Linked DNA regions of Notamacropus eugenii. The protein of the gene in region 2 interacts with the protein of the main gene of each other region in a pairwise test. Links are inferred from orthologs where the notes say so. Each region holds a gene or a part of one and is shown on either strand. Other genes may lie near its edges.

What was found. The genes of interacting proteins can lie anywhere in the genome.
Region 1: the proteins of ARL6IP1 (region 2) and INPP5K interact in binary tests that used the Homo sapiens proteins (3 or more experiments, as listed by UniProt). The link is inferred for Notamacropus eugenii from reciprocal best matches to the Homo sapiens genes ARL6IP1 and INPP5K.

What each region holds. Positions count from the first base shown.
Region 1 is NC_092873.1:39,558,802-39,566,502, reverse strand, and holds the start of INPP5K (inositol polyphosphate 5-phosphatase K), read left to right. Parts: upstream 1-4,612; 5' UTR 4,613-4,627; coding exon 4,628-4,878; intron 4,879-5,037; coding exon 5,038-5,145; intron 5,146-5,477; coding exon 5,478-5,586; intron 5,587-6,726; coding exon of another isoform or gene 6,727-6,836; intron 6,837-7,701. Other genes in the region: uncharacterized protein, read right to left, coding at 1,506-1,605, 1,836-2,446. UniProt on the Homo sapiens protein: Inositol 5-phosphatase which acts on inositol 1,4,5-trisphosphate, inositol 1,3,4,5-tetrakisphosphate, phosphatidylinositol 4,5-bisphosphate and phosphatidylinositol 3,4,5-trisphosphate.
Region 2 is NC_092874.1:400,666,477-400,673,884, reverse strand, and holds the start of ARL6IP1 (ADP-ribosylation factor-like protein 6-interacting protein 1), read right to left. Parts: upstream 3,009-7,408; 5' UTR 2,690-3,008; intron 2,593-2,689; exon of another isoform or gene 2,580-2,592; 5' UTR 2,334-2,579; coding exon 2,298-2,333; intron 77-2,297; coding exon 1-76. UniProt on the Homo sapiens protein: Positively regulates SLC1A1/EAAC1-mediated glutamate transport by increasing its affinity for glutamate in a PKC activity-dependent manner.

The sequences.
Region 1 (7,701 bases), on a different chromosome or scaffold from region 2:
ATCCCCTGGCAGGGAGGAGGTTGTGTGTCTGCGGGTCTCTGGTAGTTTGCTTTGCCTTACTCATTTCTAAGTGCAATAAAAGGAGTGTAGGACTTCACCTGTGACTCTGGTGGACCCTTCTCTGGGACCCTTCTGGGGGAATGGGGTAGGCACATCCAGAGCCAACTGAGTTGAAGCATGGACCCTGGGTTTCCAAAAGAGAGTTACTTCTGGCCATGATCAAGCCTCCTTTGTCTCCAGCAAATGTCCCATTGCCGACACTTGACCCACTTTCAGCAGCCTCCTAGTTATGGGTCCCCTGGATGGACCAGTAGGACATTGCAGTCAGTCCTTTGTGTGTCGGCTGCACGGGGAAAATGTCAGTGTTGCCCTTGTCATTCTCTTGCTGTTGGCTGTATTTGTGCTTCAGCAACAGTTTTCTTCTCTTCCTTCATCTGGAAGGTGGAGTCTAGATATCTGTCCTCTCTGGGAAAAGACTGACACTCAGAGCTAATGAATGTTTACACAGTTGTAGTCAGGAAAGGCACAAAAGAGAAAGTCCTTCAAATACCAGTCTCGCCAGCTTCTAAATGAGATCAATGCACAAAACTTGAGGTCCTCCTGCGTTTTTGTTCCCTTCCTGCCTCCTTGTCTGCATCCCCCGCCTCCCATTTTAACCCACGGTGAAAGCATCCAGACCTGGGCTGGAGAATCCTGTAGGGATCTGCCTGGATCTTGTAGTTCTGAACATCAAGGGAGGCAGGGCTCAAACCCCAACCTCCCCTCCCCCCCCATGATGGTGCTGCTGATAGGCATTGGCTCCTCCAAGACACTCCTGCCCCCACCTCTTTCTGCCCAGCCCTGCTAGCTAGCTCTTGGAGGGGCCCATCATCATCGTGGGAGGCTCGGGCTGGTGGTGTTATGCCTGAGGATGCACTCTTTGGCCCCAGATGTGCTGCTGCTATCAGACTTCCAGCACTGCAGTCCTACAAAACCATCCGTGGTTAGGATCACTCCAGGACTGGGTGCTGGGCTCTGGCATTTCAATGGAAGGGAGGTGACCAGTGATAGTTTTTATCTCTGGCACCCATGCACCTTCCTGGGTTCTTAACTGTCCCTGCTGGGACCCCACGACATGTTTTCGATTGGTTCCTAGCTATTCCTTTTACAAAAAACCACTTTGTAGAATTAACTAGATTACCTTGTTGTTTCTTTAATGTGAGTTTGTGCCTTTTTGTCTCCTAATCTTCCAATACCGGTATATTGGGGAAAAAAGTCTAATAAAGTCATAGACACAGCTCTCTGGAGTCCGGATTGTTGGTGTCCGCACACGGAGCTCCCTGCAAATGTTCTGCAGATGCAACATCCCGAATTACGCTGCTACTGTATCATAGCCCCTAGCGTGCAAAGGTTCTTGTAAAATCTATGCGCATGTGTTTCCATTGACTGACATGATCAACTCCCATGTTTATTTTCGATTCTGACCCTACCCAGATGTAGTGGCTTGTGATTCTTGGGGCGGCCCTTTACTGCTCCACCTTGGCGAAGGAGTCGGTGATGTGGAGGCACCCTGCTGCGAGGCTCCATAGAACAGCCCCTCCTTGATTGTAGTTTTCACACTTTGGGCTAGGTAGGGTGTAAGGAGAAGGCGAAGGCTACGATTATTTCAGTAGCTCGTTTAGTTTCTGTGATGCCCAGCTTTCTCATTTGCAGGGCGGGAAAAGTGAGGGCTCTCGGTGGGCAGGAAGAGCGGGAAATCAGGGGCAGCTGGGGTGGGCTCTAGGCGGACGAGCGCCCTGGGCCCGGGGCTGGGCCAGCGGAATGCACGGGCACCGACAGTCACGGCCTGAAGCTACCTGGCAGTACCGCTCCCAGGCTCGCGGGGGCGGCCCAGGCCGAGGTTGAGCAGCCGGAAGTTGCCTCTCTCACCCCCGGCTCCTCTCACGCTTGAACGCGAGGCTCGCGAAGCATGCTGGGAACTGTAGTCCAGGGCGGGGGAGAGAAGCTCGACGTTCTGGGCCCGGGGGAGTCGGGTCCCGCGCCGGGAGAACGCTGGCGGTGGCTGTGTTGCGTCGTATCTAGGTGACAAGCAAAGGTCCGCCCCCTTTCCCCCTTCCCCTCCCTCTCCCCCACCCCGCCCCAGTCCCCTTCCCTTTTCCCCAAGTCCCGTCTCGGCCCCTGGTTTTGCGCACTCCTGGGAGCTCCGCCCCCTTCCTCGTCTGCACCCACCCAGGAGTCTCGGTACGCCCAAGACCCGCCTCTTACGGAAGCCGAAGAGGAAGGGAAACAAACAACAGGCGAGAGAGACCGGGAGAGAGACGCCCTCAGGGACCCGCCGCCCACCCGCCAGCCTGCGGGCCTGCGAGGCCCGGCGGCTGGGCCCGGCGAGGGGAGGGGGGCGTGGGAGTAACGGCCGCGGCGGGGTCCGGCCCGGCCCAGGCTCGGGGAGGCTCCGGCTTCGGCTCATCGTTGGCTCCTTCCCCTGTCACAGAGCCCTGGGCCGCGGAGGCCATGGACCGGCCCGTCAAAAAGATGAGGCACCTCAGGAGGCTCAGGTGAGGGCGGGGGCGGGGGCGCGGCGGCCTCCCCTCCCCCCGGGTTGGCCAGCGGCTGAATTAATCCTGACTAATCCTCGCTCCCTCCCCTCCCTCTCCTGCTCCCTCTCCCCTCCTCCCCCCTCCCGTTTCCCTCTTCTCCCCCCTTTCCCCTCCCCCTCCTTTCTCAGCCACCCTGAGAGGTAGGCACCAAGATCCCATTTTACAGATGGGGAAACTGAGGGCCCGGCCATTCCCTCCCCCTGACACACACGCACACGCACAGCTGTCGAGGGTCCGAGGCCGGATCGGCTGCTGTCTTTGCATCTTTCCCGACCTTCCCCTGTGCGGGCCCTAGAGGTCCCCGGACCCCCCTCTGGTGTCCTCCGGGGTTGCTCTCCAAAGCTCCGAGAATTAGTGGATTCTAGAAGGCTCGGTGTCAGCCCCGAAGTGGAACGTCGCGGGGAGGGCTTCCCGACTTTTGGGGCCCGGGCATCCCCGATCCCGCGGGGCTCCATCACGGAGGGCCGTTGTGAGCGAGCCGAGCCAGGTGTAGACGGAGAGTGGCCCTGACCCCCCAGGCCGGGAAATCGAGGCCCGAAGGCCCCCCTGGGAGGAGAGCCCTGAAAGGCAGCCCGCCTGGGTTCCCCAAATAATGGGGCCGGAGAAAGAGTGAAGGCTGGTGTCCCTGCCCCCGGGGTGGACGCCAGGGGGAGATCTTCAGCCAGCGACCCAAGTCCAGCATTCGCTGACCATTGGGGAAGCTCTTTTACCGAGAAAAGGAGGGTGCCCCCGGGCACCAGAGGTTTGTCAGAGGTGCCAGCCATCGGACAAAATTTGCTTAAAAGGCTGAATTCAGGAGAGCTGATGTTTGGGGCGCAACCAGGCAGGCCGTGTCCTTTCTCCCCTTTTCCCCTTTTTCCCCCTTCCCTCCCCAGACTACTCTGCAGCCTGAAAACTGGTACCTTTCTGGGCCCACTGACCCTCCTGTCCTTTCTGCCTCAGCCAGGCCTGCTTTCTGAGCCTCCTGGTGATGACTCATCTTACAGTATGAAGACCCTTTTTTAACATCAAAATTGTTTAAACACTCCCACATGGTAGTGGTTATGCTGTTAGCAGCCATTGGTTGAGAAAATACATGACAAAAACCTACTATGAATTCAACAATACTTTTTAATAATAAATTTTTACATTATTAATCCCAGCAGCTTCAACAAATATTTGACAAAGTAGTACACGTATGTATGCGCAATACATGTATTCAGTCTGTAGAAGGTACATTTATGGATTTGCACGTGAATTCAGGTACCCTTTGCAATAACTCTTTGGTCTTTGGCCCGTGGATTGGACTTGGAATCAGAAAGTTACCTTGGTACAAGTCCCCTCTTCTGCCATTTCCTGGCTGTATGGCATTCCTGCCCTGACTCTGGGGCAAGGTATTTAACCTCTGCCTGCGCCCAGTTTTCCTTAGCTGCAAATTGTCAATAACCACAGACCTGTGAGGAAAAACTTGTAAACTGGGAAGCACCAATATACGTGAACTGCTGTCGTCCCTCCAGGAGACTTGTTTGTCCTAGCTGCCTTGTGGCCCAGCTAGCCTAGGATGGGGCTCAGTCCCATATCCCATGACAGCTTTGGGGTGTGCTTCTCCTGACGCCCTCCTTCCCTTATGCCAGGTTTCTTCTAAGCCTCACAGGAGGGAACCCCCAAATCCCCTAGGATTGAGGGTGGACTCCATTTTTCTTCCTGGGATATATGGGGGATGCTGTAGGACCCAAGAGGTGACATTACCCAGAAGAGGGAAAGAGTAGAAAGTTCTTTCACTTGACTCTTAGAGAAAATTCCAGATATACCAGGAAGTGATCACATGTTTCTCCTTAGAGTTTTTAAAGACTTAGAAGGATTGACTATTAAGTCTCTTAAGAGAATGAATGCCTTCTTTATAATTTTCAGTCTCTCTGAACTTTCCCTGAGTTAGGAAAGCCCAAGGCTTTACCCCACCAAGTGGAAGCTGACCCTCAGGATTTCCCTGGGGATCTTGGTTCCTGTTGGCCCTCAGGGGCTTGTGGTGGCTTGTTAGTGCCTGCTGTGTGGTCAGGTAATTGGTTAGGCTTATGGAGAGAGAATATAGCTCTTCATCTTTGCCTGACTGGGAGACCTCGGTGTTGTCCCGGGACCGCTCTGTCAGCGTGAGCAGCACCAGCTCTGTGGGTCACACGGCCCTCCGGCAGCGAATGGTGCAGCTTCTGGCCTGTGTGGAGGACATCAGCTCAGATGAGGAGATCCAGGAGGACATGGCTCGCATGCTGGATAAGGCTTTCCTGCTCTGGGGGAAAAGGCTGAAGGACAAATATCTGCAGTTTAGGTCTCATTTTTCTCCCAATCAGATGTAAAATCTTCCCATTTCTAATTCTATCCTCTTAACAGTTTCATTCACCTAGAAAGACAGTTCCTTGGAGGCTGGGACCTCCTCCTGTTCCCTGACCTCTCCCTCTCTGTAGCCTCACTGTGCATTCATCTACAGGTTGCATGTCATGACCTGGAATGTGGCGTGTGCATCACCCCCGACCAATGTTGATGACTTGCTCCTACTAGACAGCCAACCTTTGAGCATAGACATGTATGTCATTGGGTAAGTTTCTTTTGGGGATTACTCACCAGATTCATCCTGAAATCACTTAAACAGAACTGATCGATTGGGAATGGGGCTGGGGTAACAGAAGAGGACAACAGAGGAGAGTGAGCCTCCCTAGCTTCCGTGCCCCGTTTGGTCATATGTTCCACCTTCATCTGAAGGCAGGAGCCTTCTTTTGGGGTCCAATTGCATGTCCCTTGCCCTGGGTCAGCTGCAGCAAGGGGAAGAGATTTATAGTGAGCTGAATCAGGATTTTTGGCTTTTACTGGGCTTTGGTAAGGATAGGGTGAAGTTTCAGTGGCGAAGAGAGTGACCACTGGAATGGTCAGTTTACAGGAAGTAAAGTCTGGCATCATCAATTACCTTTCTGAGTTGGCATTTGAAGATCCATGGAGCAAGCTCTTCATGGACGTGCTTTCCCCTCTGGGTTATATAAAGGTAACTTCTGAGTGATCCTGGGATTTGGTTTTGGGTGGGAGGGAAATAGGCATGGAGGGTTAATGTTCTTCACTGGCTTTTCACCTGAGGTCTCCCCTGCTTCCCCTCCAGTCCTTTCAGGTTTTGGTTTGCCTGCTTCCCAGCTAGTTCTGAAATAGGAAGTCAGAAAGATCTGTTCCTAGGAAAGGCCCCGGGAAACTTGTCATACACCACCACCACCTCCCCTTCACTTTGTTCCCCTAGGTAGAGCAGTAGCTCATTGGTTGCTTTAGGCCCATATTTTTCACCTCCTGGCTCCTCTGTTGTCTGGCCCAGACTGAGTAATTTGGTCTTTCAGTCTCCCTGTTGGCAGCCACAAAAATGGCATGCCAGCAACACCAGCCACAGACTTCTCTTTACCCTTCTGAGAGTGGGGACCATTCCATCTCCCTCTGCCCAGGCAGCCTTAGAGCTTGGAGCTGACAGCAAAATTTGGGCTGCTGATCCCCGCCCCACCCTCTTGCACAAGGAGTGAAACCTATGGCCTGAACTTTGTGGACTCTCCCTCTCAGTGTGGGGTATTGTCCAGGGTCATCAGCTATTTCTGTCTTTTCAGCTTGAAAAACACTTCCCTTTCCTCTGGGCATCCTCTGGAAGCCTTTGTCCTCCATAGTGGCTGGAGGAGGCTCTGGCTCTGTCTGGATGACTGCTGACGTCCACCCTAAAGGGGTCTCTGTGTCTCTGGGAGCTGAGTGGGTGGGGAAGTAGATGAAGAAAGGGCTGGGCTTACTGTAGTTGTCTGGTGTTATCAGGCGTCAAAGAGTACTGTTTGAGCAGGACTTGAGACTTCAAGGAACCAGTGGGGCCCCTTGGTGCTTCCTCACCTTCCCTGGGGCCCCTTGGTGCCTTTCCTTACCTTCCCTGGCCTACATCTCTCCTGTTATCTCCTGTTTACTTAAAACTCTAAACTTAGACTTCTCTCAGCACCCTAGAGCTGGTCCTTCCTGCTACGTTAGGCTCTTCAAGGTTGCCAAGGCTTATCTCTGTAGGTACTGGCTAAGTCCAAAGGTCAGTTCGATCCTTTGATTTTAGGAGAATTGGGAGAGTTCTAGGATTAAGCATGAGATCCCCTTGACCCACCTCGTTTTTCTGCCCCCCCAGAGATTCCTTCTGTGACACCACCGCTCCCAGATCTCCTTGCTTATGACCAGTGGGTGGCATTTCAAACTGGGGGTGAATCTGTGCCAAGACCTTCACAGTGGTGCCACAAGGTGAATAGATCTCATGCTCTAGGAGATGGAGCAGGCCCTGGGAGAGGCAGAGGGCAGTATAGGGCTCCTTTTGCTGGAAGGGGAAATTCTCTTGTTGATTTCCTAAGGCCAAACTGAGACCTCCTGGTTCTTCCACTCATTTGTCCTGAGGGTTTCTCTGATCCGTATCAGAACCTGAGAGTGGAGTGGGATTTCAGATTTCAATCCTAGTCCTGCTGTTTTGCCTGTTCGTTCTCTGGATCCCTTCCTTCCCATACAAGTTCCCTAAGAAACACTCAAGGCTAACCCCTTTTTAGTGAAGCCAGTAGCATTGTACCATCTAATAGCCACAGGGTGGAGCCTCTTCTTGCCTTCTCACACCCTGTCCCTAAGCTGGGGTACCTAGGTAAAAGAGCAACATAAGAAAATGACTTCAGCCCCCTGCATTCTGAGCACTGACCCCTGCAGGAGATCGGGAGTGAGCCCAGGTGACCAGGCTCCAATAAGGAACCTGTGGAAGACATCCACCTTGAGGTTACCAGGAGCTTCAGCAGGAATCGGCCCCACATGCCATGGGCAAGTCAGGGCTCCTCCTGAATGTTAGGGCCTACTATGGCCAGATTGCCTTATTTCCCTTCCTCCCTCTTCCTACTAACTTAGCCATTCTCACTGTTCTCTTTACTCATTTTTGTCTCTCAAAACTTAAAACTTTCCCTTGATGTCTCCCTAGGATAATCACTGCCCCGCCCATTTTCAGCATGTCTGTCCCTGCCCTGCCCTAGGTACCTGCAAGGAAGCTTTTGTCCTAGTACACCCACCCATGTCTGCGCTCAGCGGGAAGGAGTGGGTACCACTGAGATGAAGTCAGGGTACAGACCTGCCAGGC
Region 2 (7,408 bases):
GAAGGAGTTTATCAGTTATTAGCGTCACTTCTCCCCATCCTTGTAACTGTTCTTCCAGGCTGGCAGTTTCTGCAGCCTGCATAAAGAAATACTTTAAACAGTTATTACAATATTTTTAACAGTAGTCCTGGCTATCTGAAAGCTAAATTCTTTTATGGTGCTACAATGTTCATAACACATTCTCAGCTGAAACTAGCCAATAATTCTAATTTTTAAAAAAGTTACAGGGGTCACCTAAAAGTCAGTGATAGACCCCCTCCCCCAACATGCCAAAATATTTATAGCAGAACTTTTTTGTACAAGCACAGAGTGGAAAATAAATTCTATTTCCATCAACTGGAACTGACTAAACAAGTTGTGGCACATCAATGTGAGGAAATAATACTGTGCCAAAAGAAATAATGAAAATGCTATCAATAAATAAAAGCATGAGAAGACTTACAAACTCTAAGTAAAGGAAATAATAAGCAGAATGGTATAAAGTAAACAATGACTGCAACCAATGTTCATGAGAAAAACAAGAAAACAAGCAAACCTAACTACTGTAAAATGATAACGACCAAGCTTAGACCCAAAGACAGAAGACACCTAGGTGTGGTACACTGCATATGATGTCAGACATTTCTGATGTATTGATTAGTTTTGTTGAACTGCTTTTTCTTCTTTGTTATAAGAGGTCACTCTCTAGGGGGAAGATGGTAAAAGGATGGACTGGGAAATATAGGTGATATAAAGAAAAAAGACATCAAAACATTAATAAAGTCATTAGGTTGAAAGGTTAAATTTTTATTTAGTGTAACCTTATCAAAGGATTATTAATTCTAGGTTCAGGCCCCAGTAGTTTTCAAAACAAAAATCACCATTTTAGTAAACGCATAAAATAAGGTTAATAAAAGGGATTTACATCTTTCTTGGACTAAGAGGGTCTCTTAAGATGTCTTTCAATTTTTTAAGATTTTCCAGACAACCTTCAATTTTCAAAATAACTTTCTTGTAACAAGAGACCACTAGATTTTAACATCACTTGAAACAGAGATATATTGCATTAACATATAAAAGAGATGAAGCCTGATTTCATCAAATTGGGATGTTCCATCTTAAACTCAATACAACTCTCCTTGTAGCTTGTGGGAGAATTTGAGGAACTCAAATTGTCTCAAAGTGAAGCTCTTGAATAAGCAAAAAACAGAAGAAGTAGCAGGGTCAACATAAGAAAAATGAATAATACAGCTAAAAAATTGTTTGCAGTCTAAAAACTAATGTGAAATCCAGTTGTTTCTAAAAATCCCTTAGAATTAATCATATGAGAAATACTCTAGTATTTCTTTATCTTAAAACATGCAAGTCATTGTACTTTATAGAGATTCATTTTCCTCACCTGCAAAATGAAGGGGCCAATGCGATGCTCTCTAAGAAGCTCCCTTCTACCTCTAGATCTTAAAACTGCTACCTTCCTAACATTCTACCAGGCCTTATCTATTTCATGACCTCCATGAGATGACTATGCCAAACTCCAAACTTTTCATTTAAATGAACCGAGCTTCCAGGGCACACGGAGGAAAGAACACCCAGGTTTTCTAAGCCATCAGCGCCAGATCTGAGCATTTCTCATTTCTAAAGAGGTGTTGGCCCGGATAATCTCGAAGACCCTTTTCCAGCTCCGAGAGCCCGGGAATGTCTGACACCCAAATCCCAGTCAAATGACAAGCATTCCGCCGCTCTTCCAAAAATCACGCGTTAAGTAATCTGCTGTCACCGGTCCATTCCAGCTTTCCCCACCCATTCTGGGCAGCAAGAAGCCTTCACCTTCAGATGAACTCATTCGAAAACAAGGAAAATTCTACTTCTGCCCAGCACCTCGATGTTTTCGCCGGAAGGGAGCGGAAGCGGGGGAGGAGAACACTGAGGATTAGGGTAAAGGGCCTGACCAAGCTCCAGCACAGCAGGGTCAAGTTGGATTCGCTTCTTCGTCTTGCTCACATCCATCTATCCATCCACCTCTTCTTCCGACGACTAGACCAAGGCCTTCGGCCCGTCCTGCCCCCCCCTGCCCCCCTCCCTCCTCCCCCGCGCAGGCTCCACTCAGGAAGGATCGTTAGGCAGCCAAACCCCTCGAGGCCCAAACAACGGTACTTAAGCATTAGCAGCGGAGCCGGGAGGACAGGGATGAAGACCCTACTTCGGCTCGCGAGCCTCGACCTGGGGCGGCCAGGCTACCAGATTGGCCGCGGCACCTAAGTAACCCAGGGGAAGCAGGTCTGAGACCTGTGTTGGCTACGGGCTTCCGGGCTACTCACCAGCAGGTTGGTGCTGCGATTGTCCCCCTCGGCCATGGTCGCTGTAGCACCTCTCAGGATAACCGGCCACCGCCTCGGGATCTGTACATACAAAATAACAACGCTACGCCAACAACCTTGCGCAGGATCCTTAACAGAGAAGGCCTTTCTCCTCAAGTCCTTTTATAGGCCGGTTCCCTTTCCCGACAGGTCTTGCGAGCCTGTCTTCTCATTGGTAGAATTCAGGCGAAGCTGAAGTTCATACCAACCAACCACGAATCGGTGCATGTTTTCAAAACGAGGCTGAGAAAGATATAAAGAAAGGCCTGGGTTGAGGGGCGGGGAGATGTGTGGGTTGGCCAATCAACCCTTGGATCCCTTCTAAGCCCTCCCTCTCCTCCCCTCCCCATTACAGGTTCGGAAGCGGTTCAACTGTCACAGGTACGGAAGAGATTCGAGCGCGTCTGCGCGTGCGCGTGGAGCGCGACGCAGGCGCAGAATTTTCTCTTCCTAGGACCATCTTCTCGGTAAAATGACGAGGCGCTCCAGCTGGCAGCAGCTCTTAGCAGACGGGAGCTTTCCCATTATATTTCATCCCCATTTTGTAGAAGTCCACGAATGAAAACAGAATGGCCATACGTTTAGGGAGGGGAGGGCCTGGTGTTTGAGTTTTATGCGGCTGGGGCAGCTGAGTAGTCCCAATCGGGAGGACCCGAGATCACCAGCGGTGTGGTCCTGGGCAAACCACGTTACCGTGCTGACCCCCGCCCGCCGCCCACTGTGATGCGCACAAGCGAGCTTGTGCCAGCGTTTCCTGGGCTTGGTCCGGAGCCACCCCTCCCCCCGCCGCGTTCTGGGGTCACTCGGCCCGCACAGCCGTCTCCAGCGGCGCCAAAGGCCTGACTGGACAGAGATCTAAAAGCAGCGGGGTCACTTAGGCAGCGGCCTTGGAGTTGGAAAGGGCTTTGTAAACGTTGCATCCTCGTTACCACAGGCTAGGTGCAAAGCCGGTGTGTGAACCCGTCTCCCCGATTGCACGCCCAGTGCTGCATCCGCTGGGCCACATGGCTGCCCCTTCCATTTTTATTTTAGAAACTGCCTAGCAACAGTCGGCATGCCCTTTAAAACTGGACAGCTAAAGCGTGAACTTCTTGTGGCTTTACATCAGAATCTCCCAAAGACTCAACTGTTGCTTTACTTCTGAAGGCAAGATGAGTCATATACGGTATGGTGGTTACAGATCACTCCAAGCAGGACTGGTATTCAATGTTAAAGAAACGCTGAAGAGCTCTTTTGTTTTTTGAAGGGTAAGGAGTGAAAGGAAAAGTTTAGATGATAAAATATCTTTGAGGGATGGGAAGAACTCAAGACTGACTGAAGTATTGAAGTTGAATAGGTAAGGTGGAATACCCTCAACTAGTTAAATTCCTCAAAAAAGGTCTTGAGGATAAAGGGGAATAATTTATGTGAAAAATACTGTCTCCCACAGAATTGCAGGAACATATTTTTATTTTGAAAATCCAGCCCTAAGGAAAAAAAAATGCTTTAGGTCAGGTGGTAAAGTACCTATGGTAAGATAATAGAATTTTTAGGTACTATATGGAATATGATCTGTATTGTAGAACTTTCCTGTGCACTTGTTCCATATTCACAGCCTAACAGTTATATAGGTAAGGTTGTCTGAGTTTTCCACTAAGTTTTCCCCACCTTTACCACTGAAGTTTCCCATGAGCAGTTTTGGAATTTTTTTAAGGAAAGGGGAAAAAAAACCCTACAGAGTTAACAGTGTTAATAATGTTCCAATTATAAACAGAAAAAAATGGATTAGATCTTCAGTTCTCTAAATGTTTCACTTATAAACATTCATACTTATAGATTCTTTCCCCACTCCTTTTTTCAGCTTTTGTAATATAAACAGATGAGAGGTTGTATTCATTTTTTACTTTGAAAAGTACCAAATCATAACAGGATAAACACACCTACCAGCAGACTTTACAAATTAAACTGATAAGCTCATCCAACTTTTGAGCAAATTTATAATTATCTTTATTTTGACACTAGTATGGTTGGATTTAAAAAAAAAACATTCTCCAAATGAAGCAATTGGAACCATGGCTCCAAACCACAACGTCCCTGTATTTGATTTAAAGGTTTTTCAATTTTGCAACCATACTGAAATTTTTTTGAAGTGATAATTCTTTTATCCAGTTTGGATACAACATGTACTTTGAAACATTTTAAGAATTAAGAAAACTTTGTTGGGGGTAATAAACAAATTGTACACATCATAGAGCTGTAGGAAGTTCGATGAAGACTTTAATATTTAGGTTAGGGCTAGAAGTATTTTTAGTAGTCTGCTTTGATCAATAAATTCAGAATTTAACATTAGCCCAGTTGAGTTTAAACCTTTATTTCTTGAAAAAGGTATTTTATACAATCTTTGCCATGTTGATGCAATGTATGCACAAAGTTTGCTTGTAAATTTTTTTTTCAAAAGATGCATTATAAACATTTTTAGGAAGCTGGTGTGTGTGATACACTCACAAAATTACATCCATTGGGGAGGCAATACAATCTTTGTACAGAGCAGCCACTTCCTTTTATACATTTCTGTTAGGAAAAAGGAAGATTCATTTTAAATTATTTGCCCTCACAATAATGGTAAATGGAGAAATTATTCATGTCACATACTGTGATTACCACTAAAAGTGGTAGAGAAAAGAAAAGTGTTTCACACCAGAAAATAGTAATGGACAAGGGGTATAACTTCTTGAGCTGAACAAAACATCTGAGGTTTGAATGTTGTAAAAATATGCTTATATTTAAATCAGCTTGTTTTTTTAAAAAATAAAAACAAAGCATCTTTCCACAACTCTGAATTTCTGAGCAACATGCAATTCTTTACTATTTACCACTTTTGAAAATACATCTAACAACTGCATTACATTTTTACATTATTAGTACAACAGTTTTTCCTTAATAAACCCACACAATTGAGTATGGAAAACCAATTGATCTACAGTCTGCTTGTTTTACAATCTACCCTTTTAAATGAGAGATTCTCTTGGCCAGGGCCAAGTGTCCTGCACTTTTTGTTAATGAAGTTGAAATGTTGCTATTCCCAATACAGGTTATAAGGAGCAGGAAAAGTGCAACAAAACCCACACAACTTCATAGTATGGTAAATTTCTTTTCCATCATATCAAAAAAAATTTTTTTTTTTTTACCATATCTAGATAAGCTACCCTATTTTGTTCTAACTAGAAACATCAAAGCATAAGCCAGTCTTTCACTGAATGTTATATTAGCAATATCCTAACTCTAAAGTCTAAGGAAAATAAAATATCCTAATTCACTTTTATTGATATGTAAGCCAAGTGAGAAATGGAAGGTCACTGATTTTGACATTCATCTAATTTCACATAAAAAAAAATTCAAGGGTGATAATAGTAAATAATTTGCCATTTTCTTTTGAATGAGCAGTTCAGTTAGGCTTAAAGAAATTGGCTGAATCATAGTTTATGTGTCCTAAAAGGAGGGAAGAACTGCCAAGAGCACAGAAAAGGAACCAGCTCCTTTTGTTTGGGTGCTACTCAAATAAGCAACCTTCAAAAGTAATTGCTGAGAACAGAAGAGGGAAGATTTTTCAGGATTAAAGTATTGCCTGTAACTTAAGAGGGGACTTAAGATTGCACTTAATACTCTAATATTTGGCTGTACTCACACTGCCCTGATCAGAAATTTTAAATGGCTCTTTCCTTAACATTTTACAGATTAGACCAACCAAACACTGGAGAAAACTCCTACAATGCAGGTCACAACACTGGAAAACCATTTAGAGTATAACAAGAAGGTGAAGAGAGAGGGTTAATTGGAGTGCTAGATGACTTTATCTTAAATTTCAGCCTTAAACTTTGGCATCTGGAACCTAATAAAGAATTTAAGACGGATTGTGATAGTAGATTCAAAGTTCTACCTAAACTCTCAGTCTCACACAGAAAGGAAAACTATGAGACTCTTGATACTGTCATCCAAATAACCTAACCATCAAGAAAGCTGCATAAGAACTAATCATGAACACAATGGGACAAATATATTAAATAGACCAGTGAAACTGCTATAGGTACTTCACAAACTAGTACACCTCCAGAGCTTTTTCAGGCAAACATTTCTCAAACCAAAACAAAACAAAAAAACAAAGATGGCCAGGCAATTCCAATGACTTGAACAACATTCATAACAGAGAATAGCTAAGCTTTGAGAGAAAAGAAAAATAACTACTTGGAGGTTGTCATCAACCTGAATCATTAAAAAGAAACCCAAACCACCTTGTTTTCCATAGCTATTTTGTCTATTACTAAGTATAATAATGACTTCATAGCTGCTTAATCTTTGTCTTATTATGAACATGAAACCTACAGCTCTAGTTGATCTGCTACAATGCCACTATCTCTTTAAACTGTGCATGTCTTGAAGATACTGGTGAATATTCTTATAGCAATCTAAAGCTGCAAAGCCATTTATAAATTCCATGAAGAAATCAAACCAAATGCAGTAAATGTCAATATATATTTGAAGTCACAGTTTAATGTTTCTGAAAACAAAACATTTCTTGTTTTTATGGTGTTACCTCAAATGTTGAAGGGACCATTTTGTTAGAGGTCATACATGGATAATTTACTAGAATGTGTATGGATGCCAGCTCTCATAGTAAAGTTGTTTCACTGTGTTAGCTGGGATAAAGCGCCAAGGCACCTGTGAAGTCTGATACTTCTTGGAATTTTCTGTTAACCTTCCTTAATAAAGAGGAAACCATTTCCAAATACTACACGTGGGGGCCGATTTGGACTTGTATGCTTTAAAAAAAGCAGGGATGCTTTTTCATTCTGATAATATAAAGAAAAAGCAGCTTCATTTTTGGATACTAGGAGGTACATGTGAGATGAAATACTCACAGCTTCTAGAAAACAGCAGCATGCAAAATGCATTATGGCATTACTATTCCAGCGTGTTGTTTTATTAAAATAAAGTTCACTATAAACAAAGTAAAAAATTGTGATAGGATCTTTTGTTAGGCACATGGATATTGAAATGCCATCTTTCTTGCAATACATGGCAAAGTGTTAAGAAGG